Drosophila melanogaster: one gene and its partners. Changing the gene in region 3 together with the main gene of any one other region gives a genetic interaction. Each region holds a gene or a part of one and is shown on either strand. Other genes may lie near its edges. The genes, in order: cad, tll and ken.

Region 1 (10,548 bases), on a different chromosome or scaffold from region 3:
CTGTCCTACGAACAGATCAAGATCTGCTTGCTGCGCTGCGACACCGACATCCTGTCCTCCAATATCCTGCAGCAACTTATCCAGTACCTTCCGCCGCCAGAGCACCTCAAGCGTTTGCAGGAGATCAAGGCAAAGGGCGAACCGCTACCGCCGATTGAACAGTTTGCAGCCACAATAGGTAAGGCGAATGGAGTTTGTAGTGCAGAAGGCGCAGAATAACTTTACTTAATTTCAGGGGAAATTAAACGCCTTTCGCCGCGACTTCACAACCTGAACTTCAAGCTGACCTACGCGGACATGGTGCAGGATATCAAACCCGACATTGTGGCAGGAACGGCAGCATGCGAAGAGATCCGGAATAGCAAAAAGTTCTCAAAGATCTTGGAGCTGATTCTGCTGCTTGGAAATTACATGAACTCGGGCTCCAAAAACGAGGCCGCCTTTGGCTTTGAGATCAGTTATTTAACCAAACTGTCCAATACGAAGGATGCGGATAATAAGCAGACATTGCTGCACTACCTGGCTGACCTGGTGGAAAAGAAATTCCCAGATGCACTAAACTTCTACGACGATCTGTCGCATGTTAATAAAGCGTCGCGGGTCAACATGGATGCCATCCAAAAGGCCATGCGGCAAATGAATTCGGCGGTTAAGAACCTGGAAACTGATCTCCAGAACAACAAGGTGCCGCAGTGTGATGATGACAAGTTTAGCGAGGTGATGGGCAAGTTTGCCGAGGAGTGCAGACAACAAGTGGACGTGCTGGGTAAGATTATCTCATCTGATCGGAACGAATATTACATGAGCAAAATCGAATTCTCTAACATCTCGTTTTAATTTCAGGCAAAATGCAGCTGCAAATGGAGAAGCTGTACAAGGACCTCAGCGAGTACTATGCCTTCGATCCCAGCAAATACACAATGGAGGAGTTCTTTGCGGACATCAAGACTTTCAAGGATGCCTTCCAAGCGGCCCACAACGACAATGTCCGGGTACGCGAGGAGCTGGAGAAGAAGCGTCGTCTGCAGGAGGCCCGAGAGCAGTCTGCTCGAGAGCAACAGGAGCGCCAACAGCGTAAGAAGGCAGTGGTTGACATGGATGCCCCGCAGACGCAGGAAGGCGTGATGGACAGTCTGTTGGAGGCGCTGCAAACGGGCTCAGCCTTTGGCCAACGAAATCGACAGGCCCGGCGACAACGACCGGCGGGAGCGGAGCGGAGGGCACAGCTCAGCCGGAGTCGATCGCGGACGCGTGTCACCAACGGACAACTAATGACCCGCGAAATGATCCTCAACGAGGTTCTAGGCTCCGCGTAGAAGTAATGGAACGAGCAATTCCCCTCTGTACATATATAAATAGATATCTGTAGCGATATAAGGGCCTGGGCTCATTAGCCGTGAGTCCGTGTGCGTCGCCTTGCTTGCATATCAACTCAATTGGCGTGTCCAAGAGATTTGACGAATTGGATGCCCAGCAGGAAGGACTGTATCAAGAGCCGCAAAGTACTAATTAACTGGAACTAGAGTCACAGGTGGATTTTCCGAAATTATTAATTGCTGTAACGGAGTCCTTGGTTTATAGGATTGAGTTTTCCGTTTGAATTGATTGGAGTATTTATTTAATTGATTGTTTAATAAATAACATTTTGTTTAGAATTTATAATATGCAAATAACACATACAAGATCACTTTTATTTAATTAAAATGATTGGCAGGCCTTTTAATTTCAGCTGTACATTTTATTTTACTGCTATGACTGTCCCAATATTAAAGTACCAATTTTACAAGTCGAATATACTATAAAAAAACTTCTAGTTGAAACTAAATTCATGTCAAGAAATTAGCAATGCATATCGATGAAAACTCCAACTTCGCTACCTATACGAAAAAACTAAATATATAGATATTTTTGATACGCTTTTACTTCTGAAATTATGTCGTTGTAAGTCTAAATACTTAAAAATGAAACTGAAAGCAACTTTAAGATTTATCTGTATCTTGTGGTCTTTACATACTGTATTCCTATTTTACTGTGGCATGTTCCAATCATTTTGCTGTGCACTTCGTTTTCGAGGCACTCAGTAGAGCAGAGGCGAGATTTATATCAAAGCAAAATTCCTTTTGTATTTAATTTGTTTTTAAGCGAAACTTTTTTGAACTTGTTTACCTTAAAATCCTATTTTAATCCGCGCTATACATAACATTGTTAATAAATGTCTATTTTTCGACAATGACGGTATATTGAAAATAAAACTACCAAATCAACTGCTTCTCAACCAATTGATTGGCAATAATCCTGGAATATTCCACAAGAAGGCTTGGCTGCGAATCCGAAAGCAATTTGGGCTTTCCACCCATGTGTGACTTGCCGCCTTTTGTTGTTCTTCTCCACTCTAATTTGTTTTATTAACAAAGATATTTTATCGCCAATGTCGCGGCACCCATAAAGGTGCTTGATTGCGACGGCGAAGGAGGCGGTTGCTCGGCTCGTACAACGCAAAATGCACTTGCTGCGGGATCGGCTGGGGGTTGCGGGTGGGCGGAAGGGGTTTCTGGAGGGGTTTGGCCCGGCAAACGGCCGTAAAACTCTCAAAAACGTTAAACGAACCGACAAACAGCGAATGCCGCACGACAATGATACGTCTACCATCCATACATATCCATCCATCCACACTCAAATCCGTCTGGCGTCGACGCTCCACCAAGCCACAGATATAGGTTGTTAGATCGGGACTGGAACTTGGACATATCTGTAATGGTCTGATTGCCCCTTGAGTTTTATTTCGGAGTCTGCTTTATGGGCTATGGCGCTTGCTTTGCTTTCTTTATGGATTTATTAACATAATTGAGGGAATATGTATAAATACCATTGAATTCGTAGCAGGTTGTTAATGTCAATGGCGGGGACAGATTCTAATTTACGATGGCCAGATAGAGATGCATTAGAGTGTTTTACAGATTGAAATAAATCTTTCATTGCCGGAAGGGCAATTCGAAATGGATTCTCTGCTTTCGATTCAACTAATCGTCGGGGAACGTTTGTATATTATAATATTATGTATTATGTTTGTAATTGATCAACACTTTCTATTTGATGAAAAAATATTACAATCTTCTATCAAATCTTGCGTTTGTACGACCAAAATTCATGATTCATCTCGAATTTGCCGCCCAGGGGGAGTTACCATATGTTTACATAGATCACTTAGGGATTAGCCTTTTTGTGCGCCCCTAATGACTTCCAGGTAACGGCGTGTTACATGACTTGCCCGTGCCTGGGATGAGACGAGGAGCCCAGCCTTATAGAGCCCACGGGTCGTACCCTTCCAGGCCCAGCCCACGCAGTAAATTCCACCGAATTGTTGACGGTTTGCGAAAAAGAGGAAAAAACAAATCTGGGCTGTGGCTGCCTAATTGTTGTGTGAATTTTATGGGCCGATCGATGGGCAGGTCAACGCATCAGCACCACCTTACAGGCCTTGTTTGGTGTCCTCGTTCCCGTGCGACCTCTACGATCGCATCCTGGTTTCTGTATTCTGGTCTTTGGGTCGCAATGGCGATGGTTATGGCGAAAGCGATCGCGTTCGCGTAATCATAAAATCACCTTTTGTGCGCGGGCCTTCGATTGTTTTACAACATGTTTTGTCTTACGGACATTAAGGGGTTTTTTGTTTGCAAACGAACCCGAACCAGTTTTTGGTAGTTCAGCGTTAATAAGTGAGTATTGAGTACCTCCCTCGCGAGGCCAACTGCCCGGTGTGCTTCTGTTCCCGTGTTCCGCCGAGTCCTTTTCGGGGATATGTCGGTTATCCTCCATTGTGTCAGCTGCATTCACTTCTAATTATTTGACGCGACATTTGCAGTTTGCAGTTTTACGATCCCATACCGAGCATCGAACATCGCGGCAATCAATGAATTTATTTTTTACAGATTTAGAGAGGATTTCTGGAATCTCGGGATTACTCAATCGGCGCGAGCTTAGCGTTCTTTTTAGGGATTACAATTGGGAGTAGCTGTGTGGTATCGAAATTCTTGCGAAAAATTAATAAGAATGGTGTTAGCTGACCTGGAATTTGTGAGGCAGGAATATGTTTAACCAACTATACCTTATTCCAATGAATATATTATATTCCTTTGTGTAAGGAAAAATTATAGTCAGATAGTTTGAAAATAATTGGACAATGATTTCACATTCTAATCTTAGGGTATATTACATGTATAGTTTTATAATTAATGCCACAATATGAATATTTGGAATTTGTTATATTGCCAATATATTATAATAATTAGGCGCGTTTGCAATCTTATGATCACACGCGTGTCTGTCATAAATTATAAATAAATCAATTTATTTATTATTATTCAAATTGCGTTCAATTATTAGTTTTTATGTTAGTGAGGAGGTTTTGTAAATGGGTTTATTGATATTATTAATTCTTTACCGTATTGGGCCAATTTTGCCTTTTGCTTCACGAAATGGGTAACACTTTTGCTAAAGTCGTTATGAAATAATAATCGATATTTCAATTCCACCCATTTGTTAAACTTCCAGCGAAGTTTGATCGAAAATAAGTTCTCATGGGAATTTAAATTGATTAGTCATATTTTTGGTAATGAAGCTGGAAACTTTCGATTTACATTAAATGATAGATCCGTCAAAAGATCACCTCATTTTTAGTACCATCTTTTTTTTTTACATAAGCCCCTTGTATCACATCTTGCACCTTATCAATGCCAGACTTCTTCCGCTATATTTGAGTTCCCTGCGAATTTTTATCGCTGCTTACATGTCAATTATGGCATTAGCTTTACAACTAGAACCGAACAATAGTGCTTTGACAATATCGAGGCGCCCATATAAACAGCGATTGCTTGGCAAACACCAAAAGTCTGGACATCAAGTGTGTGCAGATCAAACACGGTATATGGATATGGAGAATAAAATCCGGAGGATAAAACATTGATTATTCCCCAGATAGAGGTACATATATCGCGACTATTACGACCGTGGCAACATAATTTTACAGCCACTAATTGCATAATACACACGCATCTCCGCAATTACTTAATTAGCCAACGGCAATTGCAATTAAAGTACATACAAATCGAAAGCGGGCCATAAAGGAAAAGGGGTTTTCTTGGCCAAGATATTACGACAAACTGCATACCTGGCTCAATGGGGCGTGGCCACCTGCCTGCCAGCCATCGCAGACCGGTGCGAAAGAGACGGAGCACCAGACAGACGGAGATAGCGGTAGTCAAGCACTCAGGCCATCTTGAATTTCGACCGAGCAACGGAAATGAGGGTTAAAAACGCCCAAGTAAAGGCACTGCTCGTGCGCTAGAAAGAGACAACTAGTGAGTGCCGACTGCGGTGGTTGTTTTTTTTGAGCCTCTCTGCCTGTTTATCTGATTTTCCACTGCTTTGAGTTTTTTATCAGTCGAGTCTTGCTCTACGTTTCAGTACGTGTTCGACCTGCATACTGAGTTGACGTCGCCACGCACGGAATAACATTTCAAATTAGTAGATTAGCCCTGCAAAACAAAAATCCATCTCGTGAGTGAGTGCTGAAAAATAGCGTTTCGAAATATTATCGATATCTCGGTCGTATGTTACTGTGCTCCCAAAAAACACATCACCAGCCAGTGATAACTGTAAAGATTGACAAAGCAAAATATATCCATTATAACCCAAACTGAAACTCCAGAAAATGTGCAACTAAAACATATTGGCCATCAAAGTGATAAGACTTAGAGATTAACGCCGGATTATTGGACACCGGACCGAGCACTGGGACTATCTTCGGAGAAAGCGCACCTAATCTAACCTCAAAATGGTTTCGCACTACTACAACACACTGCCCTACACACAAAAGCACAGTGCCGCCAATTTGGCCTATGCCTCAGCGGCGGGCCAGCCATGGAACTGGACGCCCAACTACCACCACACGCCGCCGAACCACCAGTTCCTGGGCGATGTGGACTCCTCGCATGCCGCCCACCACGCGGCCGCTGCCCACCAGATGTACTACAACTCCCATCACATGTTCCACTCGGCGGCGGCGGCCTCTGCCGGGGAGTGGCACTCACCCGCCTCGAGCACGGCGGATAACTTCGTTCAGAATGTGCCCACGTCGGCCCACCAGCTGATGCAGCAGCACCACCATCATCACGCCCATGCCTCCAGCAGTTCCGCCAGTTCCGGGAGCAGCAGTAGCGGTGGTGCACCGGGTGCGCCCCAGCTCAACGAGACCAACAGCAGCATCGGCGTCGGAGGAGCAGGCGGTGGCGGTGGTGTTGGCGGGGCCACCGATGGAGGACCAGGTTCCGCACCACCCAACCATCAGCAGCACATCGCCGAAGGTCTGCCGTCGCCACCGATTACCGTTTCGGGCTCGGAAATCTCTAGCCCGGGGGCGCCGACTTCTGCCTCGTCGCCGCATCATCACTTGGCACACCATTTGAGTGCCGTCGCCAACAACAACAACAACAACAACAACAACAACAATAGCCCATCCACCCATAACAACAACAACAATAACAATTCGGTGAGCAACAACAACAGGACATCGCCATCGAAGCCGCCATACTTCGACTGGATGAAGAAGCCCGCCTATCCAGCACAACCACAACCAGGTGAGTCCTTAGAGACCCAAGAATATATTAAATACAGATTTAGTGTTTTATGAGGGGGTATGATCGGTTACTTCATAACTTTATGAGTAAGGCTAATAACCTGCTTTTACTGCAAAGTTAAGGTCTATGCTTGCCATTGTCACTAGCTTGTATGAGTTTTTTTTTTTTAATCGAATGTGAAATAAGATCTTACTCACCGAAGGCTTTTAGTCCGAAAGACCTCGATTACCCGAATTTTTGTGTATTCAGCTACTTAGTCATTCCACTGACCTTCGATTCCGCGTACCCTGCGCTTGGGTTTCTCCCGCATCCGCCTGGCTACATTCCGAACCCGAAGATTCCATATTGCCCAGCACATAATGCACTGCATTGTCTTCCCGCCAAGCTCGTGCTGTTCGCGCTTTTCCCTGTCCATCTCTCACGGTACATATATGGGCTTTTATAAGAATCCGTTTGCCTGGCGCGCATCCAAGTCCAAATGGCCAATTAGCTCATAAAAATCAAATTCTGTTCAAGCTTCACTTTTATGATATTCAGTTGGGGTCGCGAGATCCCCGATCCGACGCCTTGATTTATGGCCACCCCGTGTTCACCGTCCACATGAGTGTTTCTGTTTGTTTGCTCCACTCTGTCTCCGTCTCGATTCCGATTCCATTGACTAATTTTGTATCGTAAATCAACTTAACAACTATAAGCATTTGAAAATGGTTTGATCAACTTACCAATAACCAGACAGCATTTGATGGAAAGTCCATCAGAGTAGAGGACTGGACTGTAAAGGCTTAGGAAAGTTAGGGAGTTCGGAACCTATTTCACAGCAATTAGCATTATGTGGAGTGTCTAATTGAAGGTTTCACTATTTTCTAAAAATAGTGAATATTCTGAATAATAAGTGAATAATACCCAATTCGACTCTCTTCTCTCAGTTCATGCAAATTTTCTGTGATTATGTGGATTTCTTGCGTTTTGTTTGCTGTGTTTTCCTACACCTCTGGAAAAACAAGCAAAGGCAATTCAGATGGCAGTGCAGCGATCTCAAACATGAGAAGGAATAAACCACTCACACATTTGTTCACGATTTATGACCCGGGCGCATGTCAAGAAGGGGAAAATGAAGACGACGATATCGACGATATCGACAATAACGCCGATATCCATTAAGCCCATAAAATCTGTTGGCATGCAATTAGCGTTTATGGCCGCTAATCCAGCTGATCAAGCCGACAAGGCGACTCAAGTTTGCCTTATTTATTATTATTCAAAACCCCCTTTAGCCTCCGCTGTCTGAATGTCACCTTTCTGACGCGCGACTGATTGTAATTCTTGCCGTATTTCATTTGCCTAAAAAGCACAAATATTTAAGTAAGAATAAATATTATATAAAAATAAAGTTAGATATTATTTACAGCCACTATGAGCGATCAGCAGCACCTTTTGCCAACACTTTGCTCAGGTATTATCTCTCTGGCATTTTCTTTGAATTGATGGTCTCGCCAAATCGAGTAATAATTAGTAATCTGCCTTTTCCAACAGAAGAGAAGAGGGGGGCTGTGACTAACACTTCGTGATTTTTGATAGAATTATAAAAGGTCCATTTTCCGTTGTCTGCGCGGCATGTGGCGGCATGTGGCGGCAGGGCACGTCGAAGGCCCACTTCAGCTTTCGGGGTGTGGCAATAAAACGGCAACCACGATTGTCGCTGGATGCAGATGCCGTGTACTTTTGTTTCAATGGCTGGTGGTTCGGGCGGGTTTTTCGATTAGATTAGCTAGCGTGGGGAATCAAATAAACGCCCGCCCTGTCAATAAGTCCTGAAAACCCCACCCAACCCATGGGGCTGCGAGTTCTATTTTCTGTTGCTTCAATAATGTGCCGAGTGATATGGAAACGTGGCCACAAAAAAAAAAAAAAAAAGAGTTCTTTGCGTGTTATCTAAAACGTCAAAAGCGTTGTTGATAAGCGATTCCGCTGCGTTTGCGACGGGCATATTGATTAAAACAATATAGGGTCGTAAACCAATAAAAATTAGTATTACTTCCAATAAAAACTAAATAGCGACATTTACGATCAAATCTATGCAATCATTATTAAACGGCAAGAAATTTAAGTGTCCATAGTTCAGAAAAGGATAGTTCCAACAATTCTGGTTTGCCAAAGTTGGCTAAAGTATCCAACCAATTGTATCAGTTATCCAATGTTGCCCAAATAAGGCTCCTCATTCTTTGATCCTTCGATTGGCCAACATCTCATTGCATTGAACGCACTTAGCAATACATTTTTGCTTATTAGCTGTCCGTAATTTATTGTCGTTATAATTTCTCCGGAGAACCAAATGTATCTAGGGGCCCAAGGAGTTCTTACTGGGATTGTCTGTAGATTTTCAGCATTGCCCGTGTTGGGACATAAAAACTAATGCCACCTGACACATTGAGATTTAATGTGTCAATATGCACAGAAAATTTATATCTAGCCACATAAATAATCGAAAAAGAGAGAGAGAGAGAGAGAGAGAAGGAATATATGGCGGGCTTGGATTTATATTGCTTTCCCGACGCATCTGAAAAGTGTTGTACTGCTCCACCGGCGCGGATGGGATACCTTTGTGGTCCGATTTTGGTCTGGGTCCCGCTCCGAGTACCAGTACCGTTCCCGGTCCCAAGATAAGCCATCGAAAATGGCCACTAGCTGCAGTGGAAATATGTTTGGTTCGGTTTCCTTATCAGCACTATCGCTGTTTGCCGATGACATTTACCCTTCCCGTTCACCCGTCCAAAGTTTCCTCCTCCGCTCCTGCACGGGTCAAAAATGAAGTCGATTTTTGGCTGCGACTGATCTACGTGGAGTGTGCGTTTGGATCGGTGATTGACATGATGGGATTAGCATTGGAACTCGCTGGCCAGGCCGTCCCATCTCCCTGTCCGTTTGTCACGGACTTGTTACCAATGTGTCGTTTGCTCTGGGCTTAGTTGTCCAAATAATAGAATAGAATCGTGTTTGGGTTTTCCTGCTCTATTTGTATTGGCCCTGATATTGGTAATAACCAGAAATTCGAGTCTTGTCCCAAAGCCCTGCGCACACAGCCGTATATATGTCCATATACGCATAGGTCTCCACTTTCGTGTACATGTTTTTGATATACCATTCGAGGCGTATCGAGTTTATATTGGAGGCGCTAGGGATTCCGGGGGCTTAAATTGGGGTTACGGACAGCTTACTCAACGGAGTGATAAATTAAAATGGTAGCTGTTCAAAATGGGTGCGAAATGTGTCGGACGATGTGTTATTTATTAATGGAAATTGGCGCATTTTATTTTGATGAATTATAAAACAATGTAGAATGTAAAGACCATGGAAACTAATTTAAACTACTGTACAATCCATTTGGAAATCTTTGCCTCAAGTTATTTTATCAATGAAAGTAAACAGCAAAGAGAGAGTCCAGAAACTGTAAATTATAGCCACGTTTCCTGTTCGCCATAAACCATAATTCCATAATGGGAATACTGCGATGTACATATGTACATAGTTCGTATCGGGAAAACGAGGCGAAAGCCTTTTGTTTGGGGGGCAACTTGGCCAAGTGACAGGGAAATCCGATTGTCAATCAACGAGGTCCGCCTGAATTATGACAACACAAAACGTTGCAATGATGATGGCTCGGACGGACGGATGACACCTGCTAGTGTCTCAGGCCAAAGGCAACCCGCGATTGTATGATTGAGTAGCTGACTGATTGAAGTTTAAGGCTTGATGATTGTGGAGTGGGAGGCGGCAGCGAATTCTGATTCAATTTCGAGTCGTTTGGCGATTCCTTTTATGAGGTGACAACATTTACGATACGGTAGCAAAAACGGAAAGAAAGATTTGTATGTATATGGCCGGTGGCCAACGTTAATCGCTTAACAATACAATA
Region 2 (9,806 bases), on a different chromosome or scaffold from region 3:
GCAGGACATAACAATCAAAACTGAATTGGAAATGGAAGCAGCGACTTCATCACTTGTTTCCTTTGGCTCTCCTGTTGCATAAATAATCTCGGGGGCATTCAACAGTCTGAAATCGGAGAACTTGCCGGAGAAGACTCCGAATCTCGCATCGGATATCGGGTCGTAGTAGTGGCCCAAATCTTGGAGGTGTGTCCCATTGTTCTGGCCGCGTTTCCGTGGCAGCCACGAATATGAAACCTATCTGGAGGATTTGATTTTGCACGTGCAGGTCTGGGAACCTCGGCACTCCGAGGACCCGATTCTGGCTGTCAAATCCCGACAAAAGTTGCTCAACTTTCTGCCGGCGTGTCCTCCCGACTTGCGCAATTTTTCCGAGGATATTCGAGCACTTTAATTTCATGTTTGGGATTGTTCGCCTGATTTCTCAAGATCAGATTGCTTATCTGTGTCCCCGTTCCCCTGATTCAATTTGCCCGCCGTGTAATTATTGCGCTTTTCCTAGGCTGTTTGTCCTCTTTAGGGTCTAATAGTCCACTTCCTGCCTTTCAAGCCTCTTGGGGTTCCATTTGCACTTCAGTTTGACGTGATTTGCGAGTCGCTTCCTGTGGATCTCGTTCTCGGGAAAGGATATTCGGAGCTATCTCCTTTACTCCCCTGTCTGTTTGCACTTTTCAGTTTGGGTTTGACAGGCTTTTTGCTTTTACGAACTGGTGAACTTTGCTGTCTCGCTCCGGCGGAAGTTGTCGTTAAAGGTTTTCGTTTCCGCAGTTTCTGGGTGCATTTGCATATTATGAGCGCCAAAAGACTTCTGATTCTTTGTCTTCTTGGCGCCAAAAGGGATAATTGATGGTTACGCAATCGGGTTTGGTTACAGTTTGGGAAAGAGTTAAGCCCGCCAAAAATGTAGATTTATTTGAATAGTTATTCGCTCTGAATTTTTATTCTGATCCGAAATAAATCTAATTCGTGGATTTGCAAATCTTTAGAGATTAGTAATGTGTCGAGACTAACGGCGGCCTTTAGGACTTGAAGGGTTTGACAGTGGGTGTGGGACTTCTTAAAGATTAAGTCCAATTTCTGTGTCTTTAAACCTAAGCATTCTATATATTTTACATGAACATTCCTACGCATTTGTGAGGACATGTGCACTGAAATGCAAAAATTTTTCTGCGACACCAGATAGCGACGTGCCATAAAACTGAAGCAAAACACTCATCTAATGACATTTCGGGTCTTTCCCATCAAAAGTCTGGCGCGATTCATAATGACCAAAGCGCAGGGTCAGCGGTAGAATATCTCGGGAAATAACCATGGAAATAGGGTCGGTCTTCCCTCGAAGAGTTTACTCAATGCTCAATGAATTCGGAGCGGCGGCGGCAACTTTTGGGCCATAAAAGCGAAGAGCGGGATTTTTCCACCTCCAGCATGCAAATGAAGTGAATTTCCCAGCTATTTAACCCTTTCATTTCGCTCGAACCTCGAATTGCCATTAGCCGTGTGGCGTCTTAACCCTTTTCTCCGAGCCGTCGAGCAATTCATAAAAACGCAGCGAAAGTGCCATAAAAATCGAAGCCAACCCAAACGGTAGCACCTGCATTCTTCGAAGACAAAAAGGTGCTAACTCGTAATTAAGACGAATAATCGCTACCTAGATCCTTTCGCTTTTCGTCCTCAAGGAACTTTGTAAAAAAGTCGCAAAAATTCTGGGAATTTTTTATTCACTTTTATTCATCGGCGACCTTGAATGGCCGTTTTGATGGCGGTGGGTGGTTACCTGGCTTAGGTAGGCGATAGACTGAAATATTCCGACCTGCCGGTGACTGCTGTTTCAATTCTTGTGGTGGATTTAGCGCTAATCCCCCGGATTAGCGACTGAACGGCGTTCCGAGTTCATTAAGCAAGGGAGCTGATAGTTGGTCTCAATGAAAGGAAAGGGGAAATCACTACCAAACTCAAACTTCCTAAAGTCATATATTCCGTAACTACAACTTGATGAATGACAAATTGCTTTATTGCCACAATCAAGAAATGTTATCTCTAAAATTCCAAATTAATTAAATAGTAATTTTAAATGTATTGGCCCTTGGAAACTGTTTAAAGAACTATGCGAATTGACTATTACCACATATTAGTTGTTATGTTAAAAGCAATGACTAAATTTTCGCTTAGTTGTGAACATACTCATACAACGTGGGAAGATCGAACAGATGCAGCCTCCTCATCTGCATATTCACGAGTTCCCACAATTATAATTACTTCAAACTCAATGAACGGTCAAGGGAATGTCAAAAATTGATATGTCATCGTCATCTGGTTTAGTAGAGCATCCTCCCCCCATGGAAGTCCAGCTAATGATCGGAATAGCAACACACGCAAGCGAATTCCCATGCAGCACACCTGAGTTCCAATTAACCACCCCCTCCGATTCAGCATCATCCAGGGGTTGACTAGTCCAATTAGAACCCCTGGACATTGCAACCCCTGGCGACTGTTGTTGATATCATGTCAAGCATTTTATTGATCAAGTTACGCATCCGTAATACGAATCGAAATATAATTGCTCTTTTCAAGTGTCTATCGTATATCAAATGAATTGCATTTGCATCTCCGCCCTTCTGCATTCGAGTCCGTTCGAGCAGAGAGCTGTTCCCACGTTCGAGGTCCTGGATCAGGATCACATGGCCTTAGGCGTTGGTGCGTAATCGCACCAGACTTACAGGATCTTGCTTAACATTATTAAGTACTCGCCCGATGCTGGGACCTCGCACAATGTCTTTCTTTTGAATTCGCTGATCCCGAAGACAGAAAAGCTTGATCTAGCAGCCTCCCGACCAGCGTGCCTTTTCCAGGCAGTACCACTCCCGCGATCTAAAATCCGTAATCTGCTTAAGCGGCGAGCTTAAGTCGAGGAATCGGTGGGTCCTTCGGGACTTGGCAGGACCAAGCGAGATTAGAGGCACTGTCCACTTGAATCCTAAAGGCTCTCAAAAGGCAACGCCTAATCTGGCTCAGCCGCGGGAGCTACTATCTCAAATGGCTAGCTCCCATTTTAGTAACATGAACCTTTGATTTTAACAACTCCGTTTTGGGTTTACTTTAAAATAATTTTATTTATTAAGCATTTATAAAAATTATTATTAAAAACGCAATCTGAGCTCCGCAATAATTTTCATAAAGTATTTTTAGATTGAACCTAAAAAGTTGCCAAAGCTGGCTAAGAAATGCAAATATTTGTTTTTTATTTTAATCAGTGCATATATTTTATATAGGAAATACGTTGTATTTGGTTAGCAGAAGTTATTCCAAAATTTAATTTTATGGGGGAATCGAAGAATTTGTTTAGATGCTCAACATTATAATGCACTTTCTTAATTAAAAAATGTTGAGTACATTTTTTAAAAATTACGATACAAAATTCATACTCAGATTTGTGTAAAATTGATAAGCTCAAGAAATCTGTACAATCTGATATCTATCAAAGTCTTTAGATTTATCATTTCCCTAAACATTTATATGGTTGCATCATAAAAACCTAATTACTGAATGGAAAACAATCAATAGTGCGTGGTATTCAACCCCTGCTGCTACTATCGCCACTCGAAAAGGACTCGCCTCGCAGGACTAGAAGCGAACCCACAGGTACTTCACACAAATCACAAAGCGGCAATAATGGCAGCGCCATAAAATACTCGGCCATGGATATGGAAGGATATCTCTTCATTAACAACTGTCGCAGGACGGGCAGAGATTCTCTGCTGCGAGAGAGGGTAGCAGACGGACGAGGAGTTCGCGTGAGAGAGCAGGTAGTGAATCCTGCGGAAAAGGGCCATAAAAACCGAAAGAATTGAGAATGAGAATGAGCGACGGCTGCTGCGTTCCTTGCTCAATGAATTTTTCGCAATGGCAGCCTGCCGCAGGATCGAAGGATTCTCCAGGGGAGAGTGAGAGAGGATATGCGAGAGAGGGCATTAGAAGCAACCCTCTCCCGAGTTTCGACCAATGAACGCGGAGTTTGTCTACCTAAGGGTGATCGACTGCTCGATGAATGGATTTGGTCTGCAGGACTATTAAAACGCCGGCGGTCCTCACAGCAGACAACACAACCCATCGTGATCTCAGCGAGTCCACATCGGAGTAACCAAGGATATATCGAATATATCACACAATCCGCAATACCGCCGTCCACCCAAACCGTTAAAACAAAAATCCAAAACGACTCAAAGATACACCAGTGCCAAGTGAAATTCAATTTGTGCAAGCGTTTCTACAAAAATCGCCAAAATTACGCCCCACATCGGTATGCAGTCGTCGGAGGGTTCACCAGACATGATGGATCAGAAATACAACAGCGTGCGTCTTTCGCCAGCGGCATCGAGTAAGTATAGCAAAAAAAAAAATCAGATAGCAATGAAAAAAGAAGAAAACAATCTTCCTAATATATAAAATTAAGACAATCCTTTACTTATACCAACTTTCCCCCCTTCTTGAATTTCCAGGTCGCATTCTATACCATGTGCCCTGCAAAGTCTGCAGAGATCACAGCTCCGGCAAGCATTACGGCATCTACGCCTGTGATGGCTGCGCCGGATTCTTCAAGAGGAGCATTCGGAGATCCCGGCAGTATGTGTGCAAGTCGCAGAAGCAGGGACTCTGTGTGGTGGACAAGACGCACAGGAACCAATGTAGGGCTTGCCGACTGAGGAAGTGCTTTGAGGTCGGAATGAACAAGGATGCAGTGCAGCACGAGCGGGGACCGCGGAACTCCACTCTGCGTCGCCACATGGCCATGTACAAGGATGCCATGATGGGCGCCGGCGAGATGCCACAAATACCCGCCGAAATTCTGATGAACACGGCTGCCTTGACCGGCTTTCCTGGAGTACCGATGCCCATGCCTGGCCTGCCCCAGAGGGCTGGTCATCATCCTGCTCACATGGCTGCCTTCCAGCCGCCACCATCGGCTGCCGCTGTCTTGGACTTATCCGTGCCACGAGTGCCCCATCACCCGGTGCACCAAGGACACCACGGTTTCTTCTCGCCCACCGCCGCCTACATGAATGCCCTGGCCACTCGGGCCCTGCCCCCCACTCCTCCGCTGATGGCAGCTGAGCACATCAAGGAAACCGCGGCGGAACACCTATTCAAGAACGTCAACTGGATCAAGAGCGTACGGGCCTTCACCGAACTGCCCATGCCGGATCAGCTGCTCCTGCTGGAGGAGTCCTGGAAGGAGTTCTTCATCCTGGCCATGGCCCAGTACCTAATGCCCATGAATTTCGCCCAGCTGCTGTTCGTCTACGAGTCCGAGAATGCCAACCGGGAGATCATGGGCATGGTGACCCGCGAGGTGCACGCCTTCCAGGAGGTGCTGAACCAACTGTGCCATCTGAACATTGACAGCACCGAGTACGAGTGTCTGAGGGCTATTTCGCTCTTCCGTAAGTCACCACCGTCGGCAAGTTCTACCGAGGATTTAGCCAACAGCTCAATCCTGACAGGAAGCGGCAGCCCGAACTCCTCGGCCTCTGCTGAATCCAGGGGTCTTCTGGAGTCGGGAAAAGTGGCGGCCATGCACAACGATGCCCGGAGTGCGCTGCACAACTACATCCAGAGGACCCATCCCTCGCAGCCCATGCGATTCCAGACGCTCTTGGGCGTGGTGCAGCTGATGCACAAGGTCTCAAGCTTCACCATCGAGGAGCTGTTCTTCCGAAAGACCATCGGCGACATCACCATTGTGCGCCTCATCTCCGACATGTACAGTCAGCGCAAGATCTGAAAAGTATGTAGAGCCTAGACTAATCGCCGCACTCGAAGTGCCTTCCAAGTGCTGGGAACTGTGATAATCTCGGAAGAAGCGCTTTGGACAATACTCGATCAGTGAAATCAACGATTTCTCATATCCAGGAGTCGAGCCTTAAAATACGTACACAACACTCACCTTAATACCTTACCTAAACAGAACTCGAAGTAATCTTAGCTAAAGTCTCTCAGACCATCCAGATGTGTTTCAAATTGCATTCGCAAAAGTTTCAACTTTGCCTGTTAAATACGTCAATCGTAGTTTTAAACACTTTAGTTTTAAGCGCATATTATTAGCTTTAGGATTTGGAAAAATAATTATTCAAAATAAACCTAAAGGTTTTCGAAATGAACATTAATGGGTCTTTTTGGGTGGATGCAATATTTTGGAAGAAATGGAACTGACAGTTTCAGAACTTGGATTTGGACTATCGGAAGTTTTAAACTTGAAAAAATATATTTCATTAATTAAATGAAAAAACGTAGTATTCACATTATTTGAAAGGTCTTTTGGTTTTCAAAAGCTATGCTTAGAAAAAATATATCTAAACTAAACAAGAAGTAGGTCCTAGTTATTTGCGCAACTTTTGTAAGCAGCTGAAAGTGTTATGCCAAACATGGAATCATGAGATTACACACGGAATTATCATTCTTTTTATGGCCATTTCGTGAGGCTTTTCGCATCCTTAGAGACGACAAAGCAACCGCACAGGGCAACCCAGTTAATCACAAATGAATTATGCAAATACTGGAACAAAGAAATATTAGATCGCAGAAGAAACCGTGGAAAATTAGCATAGTTTTTCTGCATGAACAGACCAAAGTCGGCATTAATTTGGGAACCTGAGGGACGCAGTGCAATGGCCGCCCCAGTTTTGATATCCTTTCTCTCCCGCCCCGAAATTCGAAAAGTTAAAAAGCAAAAATTCACTTTTGTGACTTTGTCGAGCGGCGTTGGATCGTCGCATTGCTGGCAGGACCGGGAACGGGGTTTCGGGGATCGGGGATCGCTCTGCCGGAAGGACAATTGAATCCTTTCACAATGGCCAAGCAACGTGCAGCCGGAGGTAAATGAGTTTTCGCTGGCAAAGGCTGAACAAACAGTTGCCAAATTGTTCGAATTGCGTTGGCCAAAATAAACAGAGATGAGTGTATTCCACTGACACACATCCATGGCAGTAGCGATGAGGATGTGCAAAAACCTACCCTAACTGAGAGTCCGGAGCCCAAGCCTGATTCCAATCCAACCACGGCACCCAGAACATCCTGCGGGGATTGGGATTGGGAATTAAGCATGCTTCGTTGGTGCTGCCATTTCGACTTTCGCCAAAGGACGACCCTGTGTCCTGGGTGCTCAGGCGGTTCACTCGGATGCTGTTGAACCCGGGGTAACAAATTGTGATATTTCTATTTCCCTGCGCTGTTGAGCCCTTTTAAGTCCTAATGGCCCTTTATTATCTGCCTTTAGACTTTTAATAGACTCAGGCACCAGGACACAGCAACGCAGAAACACCGAGAGCAGCACCCGAGAGTCCTTTCGATGGATGTGTGTGTTGGCCTAATCCTCATCATTCTGTCATCAGTGACGTTTTTCTGCACATTGTTGGTTGGCCATTGTTTGCGTCTTAATTTGCAGTTTTCTCTTGTAGTTTTGAACTCTCGCCGGCGAGCAAAAGGATTTTCACATTTTTTCACTTTTTGATTTCTATAATGTCCCTTAAAGAAGGAGACCATCTTTAAGATGACTTCAACGTCGGGTGTGATACTACCATGGGGCTCTTACTTCATGGGATTGAGATCTACGAAAAACTAAATCAACTGCGAAAAATGATCATTTTAAAATTTACAAAAATGTTAAATATTATTTAAAAATATGTTACTCTTAACAATTTATACGAAGTCCTCAGTTAAGGCGTAGATTTAGCTCAGAGTCCTTTAGAAATTAATCTCAGTTTGCGGATTCTCTCCCCTTAGACTAGACTCAATTTAATCCATTTGAAGGTTGAAGGCGGCTTGGACTAGGACTCAGACTAACTTGTGCCTCACTTGAACTGCATTAAATCCGCGAGCTTTACCTGCCGAAAGGGGGTGGGAACTGGCTCATCTGGGAGAAATCTCAAGTGGCTGGCGGTCCGAAAATTCTGGGGAAATTCGGAACAAGTATGTCGGAATCTGCGGGATTTTGTATAACGCGTTTAATTCATAGATTTTCGTTGATTAAGTAATCCCCGCAAAGGGCTCAATGAAGGCGACGCGTCGGCCGATTAGCGCAGTTCGCGTAAGCGGGATGTCCCGAGTTTGTACCCAAAGGCAGGTGTGGGTTAACAGGTTAAGGGTTTCGCAAGCTTAACCCACACAGGACCTCTCTCGCTCCCTCCTCGAGGCTCTCCTACTGGCTCTGATCCTTATCCAGGCGCAATTACCTAGCGAAACAAAAATATGAGTATGCAAATAGATTTTAATGGGCAGGATTACCCTTTTGCTAAATACCAAAATCCTGGACGGGCGGTCTGCGCACCGCAGCTCCTTTGTTTTCAAATGTAATGAGAATGTCTCTAAGCCAAAATATTAAACATCCGTTTGAGCCTGGCCAGAACATACCCATACATACATCGTCTATGTATATACGTATATTGCAAATCCGGCTTCCGATTGTCCTAGTTGTTTGTACCTGAAGTCAGGACGTTTCTCTCTCTCTCGTCCTGCGGCAAGCAAAAGTCAAAGCGGCGTTGTTCTTGTAAATTGAGTAGCTCGATTTATCGCCAGATCAATTTTCTATATCTGCCGCTCAGATAAGCGGGTATATAATTGTTTCTGTGGCTTATGCGCTGCCAACTAAGCCTGGTTTTGGTCTTGGTTTTCGTTTCGCTTCTTGCCCTGAGCCTTACTTAGTAGCTTAAGTTCTGCTTAACTTACTTTAGTGGGCAAATGGCAAATTTTAGGCGGAAAATTCTACGAAATTCTTTGTATTTGCATACACATCCGTGGCGGCATTGTCTTTGACGCTTAGTCGCATAATTTGCCAGACAAAACGGTCATAGGACTAGAGGGGCAATGCACTGAGGAAAAAAGGTGATTTTAAATTCTAAATTTAGTTGCATTAAGTCAATATTCAGTATAAAAGATATTTTTTTTACATAGGTACCTTACAAAAAACCTTTTGTCGCGATTTATCCACAGAATTGTGCGACTTTTAGACCTCATTAGACATAACACTTAAAGCACACCAGCTGCTTTCTAACAAGGCTGTCTTAGATCATCAGCTCTGATCAATGCTATCCAAAAAGCGATTAGGACGAGGACATCGCGTTGCAGGATCATCGAAGCGTGGCCTCATCCAAAGTACTTTTTGCACTGGTCCCGCCATTGTATCTGCCCCTTTTTTATGCCCCTAAGTACTTGATGCCCGAGTCTAAGACCCCGAAAATCTGTGCACATCCTTTTGATTGTTGCCATCTGAGTACGGGACAATAGTCGTGGTTTTGCGACGAGTGGACCTCCTGGAGGTGAGAAAAATATTAAGGGCAAATCCGCTGAGCCGCCGATCCGGCGAACAATGTCCTCGAAGAATCTTGAGAGCAACTTGCGTTTAACCTCAAGAAAGTAGCAATTGCCCGCATTATTTCGATGATCGACGAGTCCTTTGTTCGAGGAATGCAGTTTGCTGGAAACTCTGCTGCGGCGAAAATATATTGACAGACTAACAAGTGTTATACGATCTGCGACAGTTTTTTCCGAAACAAGAGGCCTCGGTTCAAGGACTTGCAATCAAAAGCTGGACCACCGCGACTGCTACATCTTGTGTGTTCCCTCGAAGATGTTGAATTGAATAGGGGCTTGTCCGTTGAGAAACTTTTACGAAATTAATGGAGGATTTGTCTCACGTATATTTTTTGATCGGAAGTGGTGGAAGCTGCATCTGCGGATGGAAATGTGCCTCCGGGCGGAATCTTTGCGCAGCCTGGTAATTGAATTTGTTGCCTTTTCATTTGATGTTTTCTTTG
Region 3 (13,334 bases):
GTCGCCCACTTCACGCTATTCCGGCCAACTTCAGCAAGGCCTACGACCACGACGGGAAGACCAAAGTCACCATCTTCAACACCGAAACGGATCTGGGCCTTATGGTCACCGGCTACAGCCAGTACGGCTTCCGGCTCAACAACGACATGGTCCTCATTGGCCCCATCTCCGTGTTTCCCAGGTAGGTGGCCTTCGACGGATGCATTGGCTCACCCAATTATGTAAACAAGTGCATGTGATTTATGCCATGGCACTCTGATGATCATACAATCCCAATCCCAAGCTTAGTTATGCACGCCTTTGAGTTTATTAAACAGAAGTCAAGGATTTATTGGGAAAAGTCAAAGAGAATGACTTCTTCATTTAAAGTTTCATACAAAAAAATGTTGATGTAAAAACTACCAATAGTTGTTAAAGGCTTTTTGAATGCTAATTTAAATTTTAATTATTTCAATAACTTCTTACCTTATAGCCTCTATTTGTTTAAGTTATAAGCTTTCGATGGCTTTTAATAGTGATATTGTTTATAAGTATTAATATGTCATAAGTTACTATCTGAAGCTAAAGTTTAATTTTATGTTTTACTACTTACAGATCGGTTCTGTCCTGGAACGTCAACAGCTTTGAGGACATCAACGAGGACAGCCTCAGTCTCTTCCCCACCCTGGAGCCAAAGATCGACGTGCTTATCATTGGCATTGGCGACCAAGCACCGCCCCCAGCTCTTTCCAAGAGGATCATCGAGTTCATGAAGAAGTACAAGATAAACGTAGAGATCCTGCGCACGGAGCAGGTAGGTATTAATCACTCCCCGATCTATATCCATATTGAATGGCACTCTTTGCAGGCATGTGCCACCTTCAACTTCCTGAATGCCGAGAACCGAATGGTGGCCTGCGCCCTGATACCCCCGCTGCACCTGTCCTACAACGAGAACGACATTCTGCAAGCGAAGCTGCGGAAGAAGGAGCTCTACGAGACCGAATAGGATTAGTTAGACACATCTAATGATTGTTTGAAAGGCTGGTGCTCTGTTAGAAATTAAACTGTTTTGTAAAATTCAGATTTCTTTATTCGTATAGACGTAGTTGTAAGGTGTATAAAAGCTAGCAATCTCGCAGTTAAACTGCACTCTCCTCCTTGTCGATTAATTGGCGATTTCAGTCGGCTGTGGCGCCCGGATAGCGCTCAATGAGCATAGCCACGCCCTGTCCACCGGCCGCGCAGGCGGCGACCACGCCCAACTTGCCATCCTCGCGCACCAGGCGGTTGGCGGTGTGCATGCAGAGGCGGACTCCTGTGGCGGCGAAGGGGTGGCCGATGGACAGAGAACCGCCCCAGTTGTTCCACTTGGACAGGTCGGGAGTGCCGACCTTCTCGTTCAGGCCCAAGTAAGTCTTGCAGAACCAGTCGGAGTCCAGGGCCTTCAGATTGGCCACGATCTGTCCGGCGAACGCCTCGTGGATCTCCCACGAGTCAATGTCCTTCAGCGTGAGTCCAGCCTTCTTGAGCAGCTTGGGAATTCCGTAGGCGGGTCCCAGCAGCAGCTGGTTGACGGGATCCTGCGACACGAACAGGAAGTCGCGCAGATAGGCCTTGGGCTTGAGGCCCAGCTGCTTGGCCTTCTCCTCGGTCATGATAATGCAAGCAGAAGCTCCGTCCGTGAGGAAGGAGGCGTTGGCTGCTGTCACAGTGCCGTAGGGCTTCACAAAGGCGGGCCTCAGCTTTGCCAGGCTCTCGGGACTAGACACGCGGATGCCGTTGTCCTTGTCCACGATCTGGTCCACGCCGGACACCTTGAAGGGAACCAGATCGGTGAAGTAGCCCTTCTCCTGGGCCTCCTTGGCCAGTGTGTGGGATCGCAGGGCGTACTCGTCCTGCTCGCTCCGGGATACGTTGAAGGCGGATGCCAAGCGATCGGCCGAGTGTCCCATGGTCTCGCCGGAGGAGAACTCCGCAACGGCGGGCAGCTCGGGGGCCAGGAAGTCTGGCCTGAAGGTGGACAGCAGGGCCAGCCGCTGGCCCAGGGTCTTTGCCTTGTTGGCTTTCAGGAGCAGGGAGCGCATCTTGCGGGAGTGGCGAATGGGCACATCGGACATGAACTCCACGCCGCCGGCAACGATGACATCGTAGGTGTTGGTGGCTATCAGACCCATGCCCGTGGTGATGGCCTGTAATACATGGGCTATAGATTCAAGCTCCGAGGAACTTTGGGCGAGGCTCTTACCGCATTGGAACTGATGCAGGCCATGGTGACGGTGTGGGCAGGTGTCTTGTTGCTGAATCCAGCTGCCAAGGCTGCCTCCCTGGCAATGTTGGAGGTCTTCACCTCCTGGATGACGCTGCCGTACACGATGTAGTCGATGAGCTCCTTGTCCAGGCGGTTCTTTTGCAGCAATGACCTGTTGAATGGGGCGGGGTAAGCTAATACTCCAAGGATATTGGGGATTGTAAACCTACAAAAGCGAGTGCCTGGCCAGTTCATGGGGCATCAGCTTGGAGTAGGTGGTTCCGGAGGTCAGAAAGGGTGTGCGGACTCCATCCACGAGCACGATATTCTGGCTGTTCTTCTGCTTCGGTTGTGGATTCGCCACAGCGGCCGATAGAGCGCGGCATTGAACTGAAAAAGGGTTCCGGATTCGGGATTATCCTTAGCACTCTCGTTTCGCGTTATTTTTAATCATGATGTACCCATACATTATCTTTGTCCCGCAAGACGTCACTGCGAATTCGAGTTTGGACTTTGGCCCTTTCAGATTCAATCGGCTGCTGCTGCCACAAATCGTTATGAATTATCAGAGCCAAAGTCCAACTGGTGCAGCCCGTGTTTGGAATGGGGCATACTGCAACACCCGCACTATTAACTCACCTTTCCTGGCGACATTCAACAGGTTGAAGGCGTTACCCTTGCGGCAGACATTTTGAAGGCTCATCTTGCGAAAGTTTTCTGATTTCTTTTCTCGCTTTTCTCGTTGTTGCGACTGCAGCTGTTTGGCTAGTGATGAACATGAACGCCGGATCGCGGCGAACTATCGGTTATCGAAAGCTGATGCATGAAAAGCTTTCGAACTGTAAATACCCTTTCTGAGGATCTTACTCGTAGATCATAAAGCATGACAGCTTGTAAAATTCGGTAGATCTTCATTTCCAACTTTAGATATATTTCTTGGTTATATTTGAATATACAGTTCTAAATTTTTTAGCTTCTGAGAATCGTTTACTATTCCTACACCATTCACCTTCATTCAAATGTATGCAACGCAATCTGGGAGTCCCATAAAGGAATAGATTTCTCCAATGACCTTGATCTTGATTATCCTATTAAGCGTGCTGTTTACGATGTCCATCTGCGCTCTCATTCGTCACCTACAGTCTGTATACCCTTTCCCACAATGGAAGACCATTAACCATGTCCTTGAACCGCAATGCAAGTGATAACTGTAGCAGGCAACTAGCTGTATGCAAATGGGCGAAAGAAAGGATTACTTCCAAAGGCCACTCTTGCAGTACTGTATAATCTTACATATTAGATGTACATCCAAATTTCTAAATTTAAACTTTAAATAGATTATGAATAAAATGCAGGTCGTTTTGGAACCATTGTTAGTTTCTCAATGATTTGCATACAAATTCGTTTCACTGATTGCTTTTATTGCTAACGGCACAAATTAGGTTCAAGGACGAATTTAATGGTTTCCTATAATGGGATAGCAAAGGGTAGGATGCAAATGTAGGCGGCGTGTGCATTTCAAATGAGCGATCGTAAAGGACTTACAAAGGAAGCAAATAATGGAAGGATGACGGCTTATTGGGGATCAAGGTGAAATTTCTTTAGCATGCCAGTAAAATTAATGTCTACGTTTGTACAGATGCAAATTGAGCATTGAGATTTTCTACCCTTTTTATTTATATATTTTTTATTTAAGTTTAAACAAGTTTTTTATTTCAGTTGTAGAACATAATCGAAAGCTCACATTTTGTCGGGAAATGTCCAAAGCTCCGCCTCCGCGAGAGACAGTTACAGTGGGTGAACAAAGTATATTAACAGGTGAAATGATCTCCGTGATCGCTGGATCACTGTAAGGAACCGTTATTGTTGTTGTTGCTGGTCGGTGGGCTGTGGAGGTGACGCCACCAGTAGGAAGTCATCAGAACCAGGACCAGGACACGTCAGTGGCAATGGAGCTTCACTCAAATATTGCTTTCGTTCGGCGATGGGCTGGATGGGGATGGTGGTGTTGGTACTGTGGGCGCGGATTTTAAAATGTTCTCCGCTAACTTCTTGATCATCAGCGCCATTTGTCTACGCGACGTTGGGTCTGAATCGTCAAAATCGCGAGCCTCTATAAGGTCAGCCCAAAAGCGTAAGCTTGTTACAGTTAAGTTCTTCATGTTGGACGTGAATCTTAATCTTGTGAAATAACGAAAGATACGCCAAATGGAAATCTAAAAAGCCAATACAGATCTTATTGCTGTTTTTATCGATAATATAAATGGTATTTTTATTGATTGTGTCTTTTTACATTTTAGCTAATATTAAACTAAATCATGATTGGAACATAAATAATAAATTACAAGGTAGCTTAGGAGACTTAGAGAATGCTTTTCTGTTATCGATATCGGTATCGATACATCGACCGAGCAGCGCGCCGCAGCGATCGTAATTTCTTTCCCGATCCCGCACAGTCAAAAAAAAAGGCTCCGAGTGAACGGACGTGCGCGCGCGCAAACTGAAAGTGTAAGCACAAACAGAGCGAAGCAAAGCAAGGCAAAAGCAAAAGCAGAAGCTGAAATCGAAAATCGAGAGAGAGGCAAGAGATCGGATTCTCCGTACCGCTCCCACTCGCAGTCGCGCTCGCGCCAGAAAAAGTTTTACCAATCAAGTTTTTTATTTCGCAATAAAACAAAAAGAAAAAACAAAACTTCAACCTAGTTAAAGTTAATGTTGACGTTGTAGTTGTAGTTGTGCCGTTGTAGTGAACTTTAGTGAGTGTGTGTGTGCTTGTGCGAGCGTTACCAGTGTGTTGGTGGATATTTCTTGCGTTGCGTCGCATAAAAAGCAGAAGAGGCAGCAGGAAAAGCCAAAGAGAAATTTTAAAATCTGCTCCTGTGAAAATATAAACAAACCATGGTCAATGAAATCGAAAGTTTCCACTAAGCAAGCAGCCAGCAGTAAATGGCCGATCGCAGGGATTAGGCGATCAGAACAGAAAGTGCGCAAGTGAATAGCAGTGACTATATTCATCCTGGGATTAACCAACTGCTGAACATCCAACTTAATGAAAGAGGTAAGTCTGCCGTTCGGCAGCAAGCTTTTCCCCGAGATTTTCATCATCTTTGGGCATTGCAACATCGCTGAGATAGATAAAAGTCGGGGTTGGGGTTTTGGGTCTGCGATACGTGTGTGTGGCTTGTGGCTCTTTGTGCACCTAAGCACACAAAGCAGCCAAGGTCAGAAACTAACTTAATAGTGGTAGAGAAAACAGAAAACAGAAAAGCAGAAAACTGAAAACATTCCAAGCTCGGTTTGGATCGCATCGCATCGTATCGTATGGTATCGTATCCAAAACTTTGCCTCGAAGCTTCGGTTCGTGGCGATCCAATCTTCGTCGTCATGAACATCATTAGCACTGCAACAACAACTGAACCCAGAGGAACAACAACAACTGGAGACAAGAAAGGCTTAGTGACCTTCATCGCGTGCTTTTGTCTGCGTAATACCGTCCGTGTATTGGTGCGCTCGTATGCATGTCATGGAATTTGAAGACACATATCTGCGTACATATGTACGTACATTGGCGCACGCACTCGACCAACTTAACTGCTTTCCAATAAGAGTGAAGGTGAAAAAGCACAGACACTCAATCACACACACACATGCATGCGGTTACACGATCGCGCAGATGTTACAAAATATGCTGTTAGCAAAGCCACGGGCGTGGGTTTCTCAGCGTGAGGGGGATTTTAGTTTAACGGGTCGTGGGAGGGGGTGGGGGAACTTGGAAAGGCTATTGTGAGGAGATCTTTGATTTCCCCGTTCTGTTCGCCTTATCTGGCAAATACATATTTTAAAACGTAGATCCGTTGACGGCGTCTACGAAACTAGCGCATTGCAAACCCCTCACGGGCCCCTTTCCTATCTTTCTCCGTATCGCCCAGCTTATGGAGTTATGCAATTCAAATTTGGGTCACTTTTACGAGTGTAGCATTTACAACAAGTACGAAAGAAGACAACGACGGCGACGGCGACTCTTTGCCATTTTCCCTCGCTTCTTTTCGGATCAGCAAGTCAAAGAGCTTTCGTGAAAGGGGAATGGGGAAAGGGGCAGTGGCAGCGCGGGAGAGAGCGGGAAAGGAAGAGAATGCGATGCGATGGAGCGACAGAGACAGAGAGGGCAGGAAAACGAGTTTGAACGCGCGCTCCGCTCCCTTTAACATTTTACCTTTGCGCGAGCTTATAATACTTTCAAAACCCCGCGTAGCTTTCTCTTTTGAGGCCTTCGATCGGATAAGATCCGTGCGATTCCAGTTCCATTTCGATTTCCAGTTCCCCCTTCCCTCTTCACCCCCCGCTCCCGCTTCCGTTCCCTTGCCATTCTCTTCCACTTGGAAATAGACACATGTGCTTTACATTCGTAAACACTCACGCAATCTGCACACTCACACACCAACAAACCCATACACCGACACCACAATGCGCAGGGGAAAGAGTAATTGTAAAACTACATTTACATTACATGGGAACGATGACGACGACAAAAATCGGAAAGTGTGGAAATATACAAACGATTGCGTTCTCCGTCTGTATGTCGCTATGTGTGTTTCGTTGTTTAGCTTATACCCCGATCGTTGGACATACAGACACACATACACAGCATAGAGAGGAGAAAAGCTTTTTGTGAAAGGTGATTTTATGCGCGCATTGTGAGTTAGCGCGTTTTGTTTTCGTATCGCCCTCCCCTCGACCCTCCTCCATGTCCGCCTTGTCCCTTTCATTCTCATTTCCAGTTTGCAAAAGTGTGCGTGCGAATGTGTGAGTCTCGCGAAGAGAGCGGAGAAATGTTGGGAAATACACAAACACATACATACGTACGGATCCCTAGCGTCTTCCATTTAAGGAATTATTACCATGAACTTTCACCTTTTGATTGCCTTAAATGCTGTAACGATCTTTAGTCATGCTCTGCTCGTAAGCAAATTCAGATTCGATTGCGAAATCCGCCGAGAAACTTGTAGAAAGTGAATGGCCCTGATTCGTGGAAGCATTAAGTATACAAGCACACACACTCATAGATACATGCATATATACATATGTATGTTCCGTCAATACCGCTTTGGAATTTATCTAGCGTTAGAATGAGCACACCAGATCCCCCCTTTCCTGCCCCTGCTCTCCCCCGCCCTCTCTTCAGTGGCAGTGCAAAAAGCGAAAAATAAAAGATCCATGCTCAGCTTTCGCTTGCCATTCCCAAGCCAAATACAACATTCCCATTTCCATTCTCTTGCTCTCCGCCAAGCCAGTCATTCAAGTTTTATTGAAAGTGAACGTTTCGTTCGTCTCCATGCTAAAGGAGTGGTGGAGCCAGGGGGCTGGAGCGGGGATTGGTGGGGAGAAGCAGCAGAGCGTAACAAAAAGCAAGACTATCTTTCCGAAGTTTTTCGTTTTTTCCGTTTTCGAGATCTGCTGCTGCTGCTGAACTTTAGCTTCGCTTTTTGGTTTATTACTTTTCGTGGTGCCATGCAGACACTCACTCACACTCGCGCAGCCGAAAAGAGCTTACAAGCCATGCTCTTGCACAATACAATAATGGTGGCCCCCCAGCAAACGCACACACTTACAAAAGCCCCGCTGCACTACACTTCCACGCAAACGCGACAGACCTTACACAGATACAGTCAACTACACAGAAAGAAAGGGCAGCTCGATGTTACACATTTTACATTATTTTCAAACGACTTCTATTATTTGCATCTTTTTTTTTGGCTAGAAAGTAGTTTACTTAACAGCTCTTCAACCTTACAAAAGCTGAATTTGATGTATTAAGCCTACCATTTTCATCCACATGTAAATGATCCATCCAAATTTGAATGGCACATTCACCTGCATGTTATTATTATACATAATAGCATGGCATGATGCCACATTTTTCTGCCTGTGCACAACGACACAATTGCACAGGCCAGCGAATTTCAGTGTAACAATTTCATCGCATAAAAGAAACAGCAACAACAACAACAGCACATCACAGCGGGAAAGCTTTTTTGGAGGCAACACCATTACCACAAACAACAACACGGTGGAGCTCTATGAAGTGAAGCTTTCATCTTTTCCAACAAAGCACACACACACACACACACATGTATGACGATTGTGGGTTGCAGTATTACAAAAACACCAAGTACAGAAAAACCTAAAAACCTGATTAGTAAACATTTACTATTGCTTTATGGGAAGTTTGTTAATGCCAGCACACACACACACTCACGATCACATGCTGAAATTCCAGTAATGTGTCGCACTAAACCGTTATGGAAAGCACTTTCCAATCTCTTTACACGATCCTTTTTCTAACAACGCGCACTGTGCGCCTGTGTGCGTGCATGACACAATCGCTGGAAAGTGGTAGAGAGAGGGGGCACAGAGGGAGAAAGAGAGGGCGACACAGGCGGTGAAAGGCGGATTGTGTAATACCAAAGCAAAAAGATGCAGACTTCCCATTCCACAACTTTCTATTTCACTGGCCCCACTTTTACCACATGCTCCACATACATTCGTTAATAACTTCATAAAGTAGTCTTGCAGTTTAACTTCTATAGCTCGAACTTCCGTAAGTCGGTCGTTAAGCAGCGGCTCATAACTCATTGATCGCCAATTATCTTTTGAAATTACTTAACTTTGGGAACTGTAACTTCACACTTTCTAAACGACACTAATGGTTCTAGTTTTTGTGAAAAATAGCTAAAGGCTCATTGCTCGAAATCTCCTCAATGAGTTGATTAAGTTCGTACTATCAAGCTCTTCGCAAGAGAACAATCGAACCATAAACAATTTCAGAATTCCTGTACCAAACAGCTACTGATAACGTTTTCATAATATTACTTGTCCTAGGTCAAGATTGCGTGTTGGGAAATGGAATATTACGTATACGTACAAATTAGTACTTTATTTCGGCGATTGCGCCTCAGAATTTGAGCAAGTTTTTCCAAGTAATACAATTGAGTAGAGCTAGAGAATTTGTTCTGCAGTTCATGGCAATTTGACACCCATGATCTGGGCCAAAGAAATAGCAGAAATCTAACGATACCCGACATACTTGCTCTTCCACTTGCAGTTTCAAAGAATGTTGATGTTGCAATACAGCAAGCATGGCGAGTGCATACTCAAAGAAATCGGAGCAGCCTTCAGAGGGGAGCACCCGGCGGACCTGACCATCGTCTGCGAGAACAAAGTAAAGCTGCACGCCCACAAGTTGGTCCTGGCGGCCGCCAGTCCGTTGATAAGGTAATCTACATAAAACACATACTCTGCACTGAAATAATGCGTCGTTTGTACCGTAGGAACCTGCTGGAGGACACCCACTTGAGCGACTGCTCCACCACCGTATACTTTCCGGACGTGAATGCCACCTACTTTAAGTTCCTGCTGGACTTCCTGTACTCGGGGCAGACGTGCATTACCTCACGGGATGTGAACTATCTGCACGACCTGCTGCTGCTGCTGCAGATCAAGTCGGACAGCTGGAAGACCACCGACTCCGCCTATCTGAGCAGCAAGTGCGGCGGCCTGCGGGATCGGGCCGACAGGCGGAAGCAGCAGTACACCAGCCCACAGAATTTGGAGCCGGATCAGACGCTCAAGTACGAGGTGGACAGCGTGGATGAGTCGCGCAACGCCGCGGATTTCTCGTCCGCCTTCAACTCCAACGACAATTGCGAGAGTGCGGCCGAGTGCGAGCGGAGTGGTGGCCACAACAACAAGGAGGAGGACGAGGACGACTGCACCCACAAGGACAACAAGAGCGACAAGGACACGGACGAAATTGTAAATCTCTCGAATGCACCGCCCAGCGGCACCAGCGGCAGTAACAGCAACATCAGCACCAGCAGCAACCACCAGCAGCAACAGCACCACCACCATCACCACCACAACCACAACAACAACAATAATAATAACAACAACAACAGCAGCAGCTCAACCATAAATCCCGTCAACCTTTCACTCGACCTTCGGACGAAAAGCGAGAACTCGGCGAGCAGAACCCTGGGATCCGGATCAGACCACAGCGGCATCGACCTGGCAGTGACAGCGAGCGAAAGCACGAAACGGAAGGGCCTGTTCTTCGACTCGCACAAGGATGTGATGAAGCCGCTGTCCGATGGGTCGGACATCAACAGCTCGCCGGAGAACTACGTGGTAACGCCGCATCGGAAGCGGCGACCCGGATTCCACAACACGCAGAGCGACAACCAGCCGTTCACTTCGTACCCACACAGCCTACTGGAGGAACTGCGCTTGGCCAAGTCGACGACGTCGCCCATTTCGGGCTTTGGATCGGAGAAGAACATGCTGGCGCACCTGGAGGACGGAGCACTCAATGGGGACACACTGACGCCGGACAGGAAGCATCTGCTGGAGGCGCAGCGCAATCGAGCCCAGAGTCCCGAGATACCGATGCACTTGGGCCCCCAGTTCGTGTACCAGTGGCAGTCCAACCAGAACGCAGCCATGTCCGCAATGCCCAATCTCCAGTCGCGACTCTCTAGTCTGTCGCACATCAGCCTAAACCTGGATCATCCGGAGGGACGCAGTGGGTCGGCCTCCGGTTCGGGTGCGAACTTGGCCGGCAGCAACACGCACGCCTCCTCGGTCCGGGAGTATCGATGCGAGTACTGTGGCAAACAGTTCGGCATGTCCTGGAACCTCAAGACCCATCTGCGCGTTCACACCGGCGAAAAGCCGTTCGCCTGCCGCCTTTGCGTGGCCATGTTCAAGCAGAAGGCCCACCTGCTGAAGCATCTGTGCTCGGTTCACCGGAACGTCATCACCACCACCAACGGGGCGGATACGGAGAACCGGTACAGCTGCTGCTTCTGCTCCATGTGCTTCGAGTCGGTACAGGAGCTCGTCCGTCACCTGTCCGGCCACCACAATAACCTGCTGCTGACAAAGAATCTGCGCGAATAGTGTCCCGGGCATCGGCAACCGCATAATCCGAGAGTATCCCATCTGTCCGATCCGATCCAAGTCGATCCGAGGTGATTCGCCGGACGGACAATTGCAAAGAGACCTGAATTTTAAATAGTAGCAGTAGCAGATTTAATTGCCTATTGTATAAATATGTAAAATCTAAATTTAAATCCTAAGTTTACGCAACGCAACACATTCACGCGACTCCGCTCGTTCATATTTCACGCAACGGCCTGGAGCTCCACATCTGAATCCGCATGATCCTCGATCCACGATCCCCGATCGGAGGCCACTCACGTTGATTTCTCATTTAAGTTGTATTCGACATCCAATCCCTATTCCAATTCCCCGCAAATGCACCACTACCTACTTACACCCCCCTTGCTCTAGAAGCCCAATCCAATACTTTTTAAGCGGCTGGTCCATTCAGTGGAGCACTTATTTGTAAGCATATGTCTATACGAGAGGTATTTTAATTGCTATTGTATTTCCAACTCGTCTAGCATGAACTTCATGGCCCAAACTTGTACCTATATCTACATTTTTGATAGTTTTGATACACTTTTTGTGTTAAGATTTTACGTATTCCCTCCTAAAATCGCCAATTAAAGTGTGTAAATTGTACAGTATAATTCGCAAGCTCGTAATAAAATCAGAAAAGCATTTCCGTTTGTTTATACTCTTTCGATCATTTTTAGAAATATATTTTACTTTAAACCGACGCTGTGTTGTGTGCTATTTTAAGAGGAAGAGTGGGTGGTGTATTTTCCATTACAGGTTCTTCATTTCTATTCTTTCAGGTCAAAATAAAAACATTCTATTTTAGTAATATTGTCGCAATTTGTAAAGCTTTATTCAAATTTTGGCGCCCTAGAAAGCCGTTATAAACTTGGTATTTTATGGGTATTTTCCAAGTGGATTAGTATATTATAAGCGTGAGTTGGCAGCCCAGATGCCAACAAGTATATTTCATTTGTTGTGTGTGCTATATAAAATATATATAGTGACGTATTTGGGTGGTCCAAACCAGCCACTTCCATTATTTCAAAGAAATCAGTAATGCACTCTAGTAATTTTCCATAACGTATCCCAGCTGCGCAGCATTCGTTTATCTTTGGCAGCGCAGCCGTTCTTGTAAACATCCTAAAGCCTGACCTAAGCAGATTTGACTGCCCTCTTTCAACGCTACCTAATCTTAAGAACCCAAGAGCGAGGCTCTCCCGAAATACAAATATTGTTCAAATACTGAGGCTTCTCCTCAATCCAATTTGCATTTGATTTTTAGTCTTAAGCTGAGATCCAAAGAATAAAGTCGTGAAACTATTTCTCCTAAAAACTATTTTTTATTTCTTGGCGTTGTCCTTAGTCAACTGACGGGACATTAGTTCGACTCATAAATAAAACAACAATTTTACTATATTAATTATAACATTCTATTTGATATATTTTTAAAAATAATTAAAAGTTCACTTTATCAATTAAGCACCCCATACGATATAAATCAGTCATTGAAGCTTACCAAGCATACGTACGTACAGAGATAATTTGCGAAATACCCGAACTTAGCAGCAAATGGAGCACTGTTTAAACTCCGCTTTCGTAAAGTAACGGCTTTTGGCGCCCGAGTGGCGCTGTCATCGGAATCGCGATTCGCAAGCGAGGCGACGGTTATAGATAATATTCGCACTGCTGGTCGCTGAAGTATAACAAAACAAGGAGCCAACTGGTCAGACCGTCGAATGCGTATTTTCGACTGCGGACGATTTCGAGTCGCTCGGAGTTAACGTTAACTGTTATTTTTAGTTAAAAATTGCATCCGATCAGTCGGGAACGCGAGTTGAGGCCCGCGACTATGTGGTGTTTAAAGACAGGCATCCGCAAGATAGGAATCTGAATCGGAATCTATATCTGAAACTGAATCCGGAGATTCGGCCCAAGAACTCCAGCTCCAGATCGAAAGTCCACACACACGCACACCAGCACCAATACCCATACCATACCCATACCCACGGCGACATATGCACACAATCGCAGTCGGATTCGGTTTATTAACGGTAGTTCAGTGATTGCGGGAAAGGGACAGCGAGCGAGCAGCGAGGATAACGGGAAAGGATGGCATTGCCGAAGAAAATTAAATGTTTTAAGT

Evidence for each region.
Region 1: of ken (region 3) and cad, changing one enhances a phenotype caused by changing the other (phenotypic enhancement), as found in Drosophila melanogaster (one study listed by BioGRID).
Region 2: of ken (region 3) and tll, changing one enhances a phenotype caused by changing the other (phenotypic enhancement), as found in Drosophila melanogaster (one study listed by BioGRID).

The regions. Positions count from the first base shown.
Region 1 is NT_033779.5:20,765,275-20,775,822, forward strand, and holds the start of cad (caudal), read left to right. Parts: upstream 1-5,456; 5' UTR 5,457-5,833; coding exon 5,834-6,635; intron 6,636-10,548. Other genes in the region: dia (diaphanous), read left to right, coding at 1-178, 236-766, 844-1,316. UniProt on the Drosophila melanogaster protein: Caudal (cad) is one of a number of transcription factors controlling segmentation of the embryo.
Region 2 is NT_033777.3:30,848,248-30,858,053, forward strand, and holds tll (tailless), read left to right. Parts: upstream 1-4,067; 5' UTR 4,068-4,299; coding exon 4,300-4,375; intron 4,376-4,496; coding exon 4,497-5,779; 3' UTR 5,780-6,153; downstream 6,154-9,806.
Region 3 is NT_033778.4:23,865,593-23,878,926, forward strand, and holds ken (ken and barbie), read left to right. Parts: upstream 1-4,680; 5' UTR 4,681-5,279; coding exon 5,280-5,288; intron 5,289-9,332; coding exon 9,333-9,502; intron 9,503-9,558; coding exon 9,559-11,185; 3' UTR 11,186-11,850; downstream 11,851-13,334. Other genes in the region: CG5569 (uncharacterized protein), read left to right, coding at 1-181, 595-793, 848-988; Mtpbeta (mitochondrial trifunctional protein beta subunit), read right to left, coding at 1,161-2,171, 2,228-2,402, 2,461-2,620, 2,870-2,933; TM4SF (transmembrane 4 superfamily), read left to right, coding at 13,301-13,334. UniProt on the Drosophila melanogaster protein: Transcription factor required for terminalia development. Negative regulator of the JAK/STAT pathway: represses JAK/STAT-dependent expression of ventral veins lacking (vvl) in the posterior spiracles.